Macaca mulatta: one gene and its partner. The protein of the gene in region 1 purifies or fractionates together with the protein of each later gene. This does not show direct contact. Links are inferred from orthologs where the notes say so. Each region holds a gene or a part of one and is shown on either strand. Other genes may lie near its edges.

Region 1 (4,099 bases):
TGTCATTTTTCCAGTACATTCTTCAGCACGCACAAAATTTGTTAAGCATATGTTCAAAGATAAGCTCTGCAATGATCAGAGCTTGGTAGCTCACAAGTTTGGAGGAAGTCAAGCTGTCCACCGGCACAACACAATGGAAAAGGCTAAACTGACCACTGAAAGAGACAAAACCCTGCCTCTCTTTAAAGATTTCTATCCCAGGCTGGTATATATTAATATAACGCTTGAAGAAACTGGAGAATGACGGAAGTCTGTTACGTTGGTTTTAAGCTTTAAACTTTACAAAGTGCAGTTTCGCAGCTATTATTCATTCAACAGCCACTTCCTGAGCACTCACTATGTGCTAGGTACCATGCTGAGTGCTAGACAGAAATGAACAACATAAGCAGTCCCTGTCCTGTGAGGACTCATAATCTAATAGGTTTGGGGTACAAGAACAGAGGCAAACACACCTAACTGTAGGAATAAGGAAGAGAAAGCAATTCATTCTGCCTGAGGCTGCAGGAGAAGGAAAAGCATCCAAAACGTGACATCCGAGCTGGGCCTTGAAGAATGCTAGAGCTGACCCACCAGGGCCCGGTTCTAAAGTGTCATCGCCTTCTCCACGGAGAAGAGAAAGTCTCTTATCAGCCCCAGGTGACTCCTACAAAAATTCTGAGGCAGGAAGTTTCATCAGCAATCATTCCCATTTCACAGGAGAAATTGTGACCCAGAATGCAAAAGGCAAACCCCAGGGTTATCTTCGCGCCAAGAGAGATGCCGGGTCCCGAACCTCAGATTGGCAGAGTCAGCACAGTTGGAAGCTCTGCCCAGATTCTGAGAGGTGTAGAGCACCGGAATGTGTCAAGAGTCTCCCCCCGGAAGTTGGGAAAAGGCCTGAGAAGAGATCGACCCCCCTCCAAAAATCCGCCGGTATCTCTCAGCCACGCCCTCCAGCGCATACTTCTCAGTCACTCACCCGCCGCTGGGCGATAGGAAATCGGTGTCGTCCTCGTCCCCCGCACCGAACATTGCGTTGGCTTTCACCAGGCTGCGGGGAGGAAGCTGGGTATTTCCAGAGTCCCAGGGCTTGTCACCGCCGACGTCGTAAAATGCCGCGGCGGCGTGCTGCTTTCCGGCAGGGTGAACTCCCTCACGGTCTCTGGGCTGAAAGTAGTCTAGGCTCTGGAGAAGGTGGGGCAAAGGCAAATGAGAGGCTCGCGCCGCCAGACGTCAGGCCTCTCCAGCCCGCAGGGGGTCGGAGCTTCACAGTCTCGTGCAGGGATTGGTCGGTAATGCTAGGGGGCGGGAGGGGGCGGGAAATCCTCGGCCTCGGAGGCTGTCGTGGACACGTCGAGCCGGGTAGAAGTGGACGGGCCGTTCGAGGAGTCGTGAGGGGGTGACGGGTTAAGATTGGGAGAGAGAGGCGCCAGTGGCTGGACTCGACCTGGGAAGGTAAGGCTTCTCCCGGTCCCTCTCTAGCACCCCTGTGCATGGGTACCGTGCTTTCCCCAGCGGGACAAGGACCCTTCTGGCCGCTCTCCTCAGCTCCGCGGAAGGAGAAAGAGCGCGGGACTGGAGGGTTAAAGACTTGGGCTTCGACCCGGTCCCTGCAGTGGCTTAGCCAGAGTGACCTTGGGCCGCGGTGCTCGGTGCCTCAGTTTCCCCGTGTGTGCAACCGGCCATTTGTCCAGTGCTTCCATGTGCCGGCTGGTCCAGAAGCTTTTAGAGCTCAGAGGCCATCGATTTCGATCCCGGCCTCCTCGTAATCTCAGAATTTACAGATAGGGAGACGAAGGAACTAAGCACCCGGGTGACTAGTCCGAGGTCACAAAGAGTAAAGGGCAGACTGAGACTGGATTCCTCGTCCTTTGATTCAGGACATAGTGAGCTAGTGCGTGAACAAGAACGTTACCAGCCCTTAAGCACTGTGTGCCCTTACAGAATGGCTATTGAAAGACTGTAGCATACACCTCGAGGAAAATTCCCTTTCTAGAGTCCACCTGTATTCTACGCAGGTGAGGTGCAGAAGAACTAGGATATTCTGGCGGTGGGTGATGGAAAGGAGGATACTTTGGAGGCAGACACATCCCCAGCCCAACCTTGGCGTGGGTTTCCCTGGGTCTTCCTGCGACAGTCCTAAATCAACATCAATTGTGACGGACTCCTCTGACTCCAGTTTCCACCCTATCTGTATCTTACCTAAGTATTTTTTTGGTTAACCTGGTTTCATTCTCGAAACAATCCTGGGGTAGTCCTGGCTTAGGTAAGGTGTGGCTCAGGAGATAGTGTCCCAGTGTAGCGTCCACAGACTCAATGGAGTTCTTGGGCTTCCCCTCACAGTCAGGTTGGTACTACAGGTGTCCCTTACCTGAATGTTTCAATCTGTCAGTATGAAATTGAAGCGAAGTTCTCCCTCCCAGAGAACTTTGCACCTCCTGGCAAAGATGTTAAAGCAGCGAAGCCTCACAGTTGGAATGATGCAACTGGAATCTAAGCACTAGAACCGGAAATGGAACTAGAATCTAAGGACTAGCATTAGAACTGTTGCAGTAGCTCTGTTTAGTGTGTGAACTTGGCTACCTCTTAGAGGTGTTGGGGGAATAACTGGATTAAGTACCATGGCACTTTTTAATCACTCTCCCCAATACTGGTCACTGTGATTGCAGCCCTGAAACATCTAAATGTTTAACAGAAAGAGCTTGCTAGCCCCTGGCCTACATTATCTATGCTATTTTTAACATAGAGTGAATACTTAAAGTCACTTTCAAAGCAGTCTCACTGCAGAATCTTTCTAGTTGTTTATGAAATGTCCTTCCAGCCTTTTCTTTTAAAAAAAAAAAATGGCCAAGGGAATATTTGAACTCTGATCTTGTATTCTTGGGTGGAGGTGTTTTTATCCTGGATGTTTAAGTAGCTTTTTAGGTACTCAGGAATCCTAAAATCAATAGCCTTTTTGTTGATTGGAACATCACGAACGTGCATACCCAGATTATCACTGTAGAAACACAGCTGCTGATTCTTATTAGCAGTATGAGGAGGAGGAAGATGATGGTGAGTCTTCCCAGGCTTTGAACTGCAGGACTGGGTGCACCTAAAAAAAAAGAAAAGAAAGCCACTGTCTTCCTAAATTCGTGTATCTTCAGATTGGTAATATTGGACTAGGAATCAGGAAATCTGAATTCCTGTCCCAGCCCTTCTAACTCAACTCTGAGTTTGGTCCAGGCTCCCTAAACACCGTAAAACAAGTGGATTAGACCTGGACTTCTACTGAGTAATTCTTGGGGATACAAAAGCAAGTAAGGCACAACCTTGATCTCAAGTTTAAAGTAAGCATTTTTGTTTATTTGTTTTGCTTAAGTATACAACTTTTAGAATATTCATGAAATGTATTGTCAACCCTCTGAAGATTGGCCAGGAAGCAGCAATTTTTTTCCTCCACCCTCCACCCTCCTTCCTCCCTCAGGGAAGCAGCAATTTTAATACTTTTCAAATTATCAGCAATTTTGCAACAGAGATGACAGTCTTTATATACGAGTATGCCCATACTAATCTGTACTGATGCATGCATTTTAAAATTAGTAGTTTAAAGTTATAACCAAGTTATATCAGGTATAATGACAGGAATATGAATTAAATGCAGCTTCTAGGGCATCTATAACATTCACTCAGTTACTGAAAGCAGACTTTTAGGGCCATTAGTTGGCTAACTGAAGAAGTACGTTAAAGCAGGGAATCACACAGATAATAGTTACATACATAACATTTTAACGAGGACATAAACATTCTTTTGCCATTCTTTTAACATAAGGCCTCAGCCTTTTCTTGGAATGTAGGACCCTGTTGCCTGTTTTTATAAGTAAAGCTTTATTAGAACACAGCCTTGCTCATTTGTTTATGTATTGTCTATGACTACTCTCAGCCTACAAGGCAGAATTGAGTATTAGTGGTTGAGACAGAAACCACATGGCCTTCAACACCTAAAATGTTTACTTTTGACCCTTTACAGAAAGAGCTTGCTAGCCCCTGGCCTACCTTATCTATGGTATTTTTAACATAGAATGAATACTTAAAGTCACTTGCAAAGCAGTCTCACTGCAGAATCTTTCTAGGTGTTTAT
Region 2 (4,132 bases), on another chromosome or scaffold:
ACCAGGAATGTGGAACGTGGAACGTGGGGCTTGGCTCTTCTGTGCTTCTTTATCCTTCAGATCTACCTGCCTGTCCCAGGGCTGGTGGTGTGTGTGTGTATGTGTGCATGTCACAGGTGGGGTCTAGAACTTCCTGTGCATGAATGGGACAGCCATCTGATTCCCAGATGTATTAACACCCTTATGGCTACAGATCCAAAAACCACATTCCCCAACTGGTTTTATTAGTAAAACCAATTACATTTTGATTTAAAACAAAAGCAAATGTAAATCACTAAACACAGTGCCTGGTAGAGAGTAAACACACTGTAAGTAACAGCTGGTATAACTATTTCTGGACCCTAGGATGACTATCAGGCCAAGTGCTTTCAACTTTTTTTTTTTTTTTTTTTTTTTGAGATGGGCTCTCTCTCTGTCGCCCAGGTTGCATGATCTCCACTCACTGCAACCTCCGCCTCCCAGGCTCAAGCAATCTTCCCACCTCAGCCTCCAGAGTAGCTGGGATTACAGGCATGCAGCACCAAGCCCAGCTACCTTTTTTTTTTTTTTTTTTTTTTTATAGAGACAAAAGTTTCACCATGTTGCCCAGGCTGGTGTCAAACTCCTGAGCTCAGGCGATCCACCAGCCTCGGGCTCCCAAAGTGCTGGGATTACAGGCATGAGCCACTGCGCCCAGACAAGCCCTTTCAACTTTAATCAGGGGGTTTTAACTTTCTCCCCAAAGGGTCCCTAAGGAGAGAGAGTTAATTCACTGCCAAGCTCAAAATTTATTTGAAATGTTATTGTTCTGTCTTATAATTTGGTAGGAATTTTGTATTTTCCTTCTAGAAAAACAACCATTTTTTCTTTTTTTTTGGTTTTGTTTTTGAGATAGAGTTTCACTCTTGTTGCCCAGGCTAGAGTGCAATAGTGTGATCTCAGCTCACTGCAACCTCCACCTCTCAGGTTCAAGGGATTCTCCTGCCTCAGCCTCCCAAGTAGCTGGGATTACAGGCATGCGCCACCACACCTGGCTAATTTTGTATTTTTAGTAGAGACGGGGTTTTGCCATGTTGGCCAGGCTGGTTTCGAACTCGCGACCTCAGGTGACCCACCCGCCTTGGCCTCCTAAAGTGCTGGGATTACAGGCTTGAGCCACCGCGCCCCGCCTGAAAATGAACTATTTTCCCACAGCTATTTTAGTATAGATGTGGTTCATTTATCCTGTCTTTGGCATGCCCTAGTTTGAGGAACAACTCCTAGCCCAGTGCCTCCCCAAACTCCTCATCAACTCCAACTCATTGGACAATGCAGACCTCTTGGGTGTACCAGAGCCCATACCTGGCATAGGTGGGGGTAACAACATAGATAGTAGGCAGGGCCTCAGGTTCAGGGGGCTGGGCAGGGGCAGGGGGTGGCCGTCGGAGTTCCGCTTGCAGCTGGGAAATCCTCAGATCCTTCTGCCGTAGCTGCTCCGCTGCTGCCCGCAGGGGAGGAAGGCAGTCACATGGCTGGCCTGGTCCCAGGAAGCATTAATGGGGAAAGAGGATGGGGGCAGAGAACCACAGAATGTTCAGCATCCCAAAGGGCCATAATCTTCTCATTAATTCCTAGACAATGCAGGTATCCCCTTATGACTTCCCTAGTAGCCTTTTCTACACTTCTGGTGTGGGAAACTCACTGCCTCAAGCAGCAGACCCTCTCCAACTTTAATAAATTCCATTGTTACAATTTTACGTTGGATATTGAGCTGATTCCATCTTTTCTATCTGCTGGTCCTAATTTTGCCTTCTGGACTCATAACAAGCTCATGTCCTTAAACAGGACAGTCTTTTCAGAGTCCAAGGTGCTAACTAACCATTACACTATAGAACCCCTTTAGGATAGTCTTTCAAATACCTGAGGATAACGCAGTGGCACTGTCCCTAAATCTTTGCATAAGGGGCAGGGTTCGATCCATTCCCTTGGCTGGGTGACCAAAGACTCATTGTTAAATTCATTGATTCCATTGTAGGATAAATATTTATTGAATACTCTTCCTAGGAGGCACTGCCTTAGGTGCTGAGGATACAGCAGGGAACAAAACAGACACAGTCCCTGCCCTCATCGAGCTTTCAGTTTAGCGGAGGAAGCAGACACTAAGCAAAGAAACAAATTAATAACATTATTACAAACTGTGATGGGGTCATGAAAAAAATAATCAGGATAGAGAATAAAAGGGAATGGAATAAGAATGGTATCTTTAGCTATGGTAGTCAGGGAAGGCCTCTCTGAGGAGGTGACATTTGAGCTAAGACCTGAAGGATGAGAAAGAGGCAGCCCGGAAAGAGCTGGAAGAAAAGCACCCCAAGTAGAGGGAACAAGTTAAGCGCTTGAGAGAGCAATGAGCCTGGCGTTTTCGAGAAACTGTCAGCAAGCCAGTCTGGCTGCAGCAGAGCGAGGGAGAGGGGTGGGAAATGGGGTTGGGAGAGGCGGACGGCAGCAGGATCATGCGGGGCCTTGCAGGCTCTGGGAAGGAGTCTGGATTTCATCCGAGGTGCGGCGGGCCGCCGCGGTGCGTTCTATAGAGGGGAGTGCGCCTGCGGCCGCAGAGCTGTCCGGAGGGTCGAGCGGATGAATGGTGTTTGCCGGGGGTTCATCCCCAGGGCGGGATGCACGGCGGCGGGCGCCCACGGGCCAGCCCGCCGCACCCCCGCCCCGCCCCGCTCACCGAGCTGTACCAGCGCGTAGAGGAGGCCGGCGATCGACACCAGGAAGTAGGCGAGAAACACGTTCTTCAGCTTCAGCTTCATGGCCGCGCCGCCGCCCGCGCCCGAGCAGGCGGGGTCTAGAGGGGACGAGGGGTTCCCGCCCCAACCCCCGGCGCCTGCCCACAGGCCCCGCCCCTCCACCGGCTCCGCCCTGCGTCCCGCCTTCTTCGCACTCCCCTACCAGCTCCTAGCCGGGGCTGGCAGCACCGCCCGGGCACGCTTCCGGTCATCTGTGCCCCCTTGTAGACTTGATTTCCGGTCCCACCGCCAGGCTCCGGGAACCACGGGGCGGTGACGTCACATCCGGCGTGCCAAACTCGCGTGGACGGCAGTCAAAATCCCGGGTAGGTGCAGAATCTCGGGTAGGTAGGTGCACGTGGCACCTACCTCGCGACCCGCCCCCGATCACGGAATTGCATGAGAAAGCCAGTCCTGCCGTCCAGATCTTCACCTTATTCATCCAACCATCAGTCACGCCACCCAACAGCAGTTGCTCAATACTCATTACACAAATGAATGAAATCTAAGGCCCACCACATGATCCTCTGGGTGTCTCTCCTGGAATTATCACTATAATACTTTGAGATAGATAAGAAACTAAAGTTGACAAAAATTATGTCATTGCCACAAGGCAGTTTTGTGTCCTTTCTAGACACCTGATTCCGGCATCTCTAGTGTTTCCTCTGGCCCACATTTCTTCAACAGATGACAACAAGGGTGCCAAGGAAGTGTTTTAACTACCAGGAAATTGATTGGAAATAGTTCCTGAGCTGGAGAATTCCAGGAATGCATCCCCTTCCTCCTCACAAGCACAAGCCATCCTTCTCATTTTTCCTTTAAAAAAAAAAAAAAAAAGGGCCTGGCACAGTGGCTCATGACTGTAATCCTAGCACTTTAGAAGCCCAGGAGTTTCAGATCAAACTCGGCAACAAGGCAAAACCCCGTCTCTACAAAAAAACACAAAAATTAGCCGGGTGTAGTGGCGCGGGCCTACAGTCCCAGCTACTTGGGAGGCTGATGTGGGCGGCTGAGGCTGTGGTGAGCCGTGATCATGCCACTGCACTCCAGCCTGGGTGACTGGGTGAGACCCCGTCTCAAAAAAAGCCCTCCAACCCCCACCAAAAAGAGTTTCTGGTAAAATAATCTCTGACTTGTGGTCAGTCTACAAAATGAGGGGGAGACGGGGAACAGTATACTTCCTGTCACTAAAACAATGGGAAACTTTACAAAATGCTGTTAGCTACAAGCAGAAGCCTTTAGGTTGGGCATGGTGGCTGATGCCTGTAATCCCAGCACTTTAGGAGCCTGGGAGGTCAAGGCTGCAATGAGCCGGGATCATGTCACAGCACTCCCAGCACTCCAGCCTCAGCAGTAGAACGAGACCCTGTCTCAACCCCCCACAC

Evidence for each region. Proteins that work in one complex are often made in the same cells at the same time.
Region 2: the proteins of SLC31A1 (region 1) and B3GAT3 purify together in Homo sapiens (co-immunoprecipitation; 3 studies listed by BioGRID and IntAct, with this or other methods). This does not show direct contact. The link is inferred for Macaca mulatta from reciprocal best matches to the Homo sapiens genes SLC31A1 and B3GAT3.

Annotation. Positions count from the first base shown.
Region 1 is NC_133420.1:45,087,296-45,091,394, reverse strand, and holds the start of SLC31A1 (high affinity copper uptake protein 1), read left to right. Parts: upstream 1-1,297; 5' UTR 1,298-1,434; intron 1,435-4,099. Other genes in the region: FKBP15 (FK506-binding protein 15), read right to left, coding at 959-1,011.
Region 2 is NC_133419.1:11,443,657-11,447,788, reverse strand, and holds the start of B3GAT3 (galactosylgalactosylxylosylprotein 3-beta-glucuronosyltransferase 3), read right to left. Parts: upstream 2,809-4,132; 5' UTR 2,772-2,808; coding exon 2,690-2,771; intron 2,118-2,689; exon of another isoform or gene 1,948-2,117; coding exon of another isoform or gene 1,879-1,947; intron 1,496-1,878; coding exon 1,321-1,495; intron 1-1,320. UniProt on the Homo sapiens protein: Glycosaminoglycans biosynthesis. Involved in forming the linkage tetrasaccharide present in heparan sulfate and chondroitin sulfate.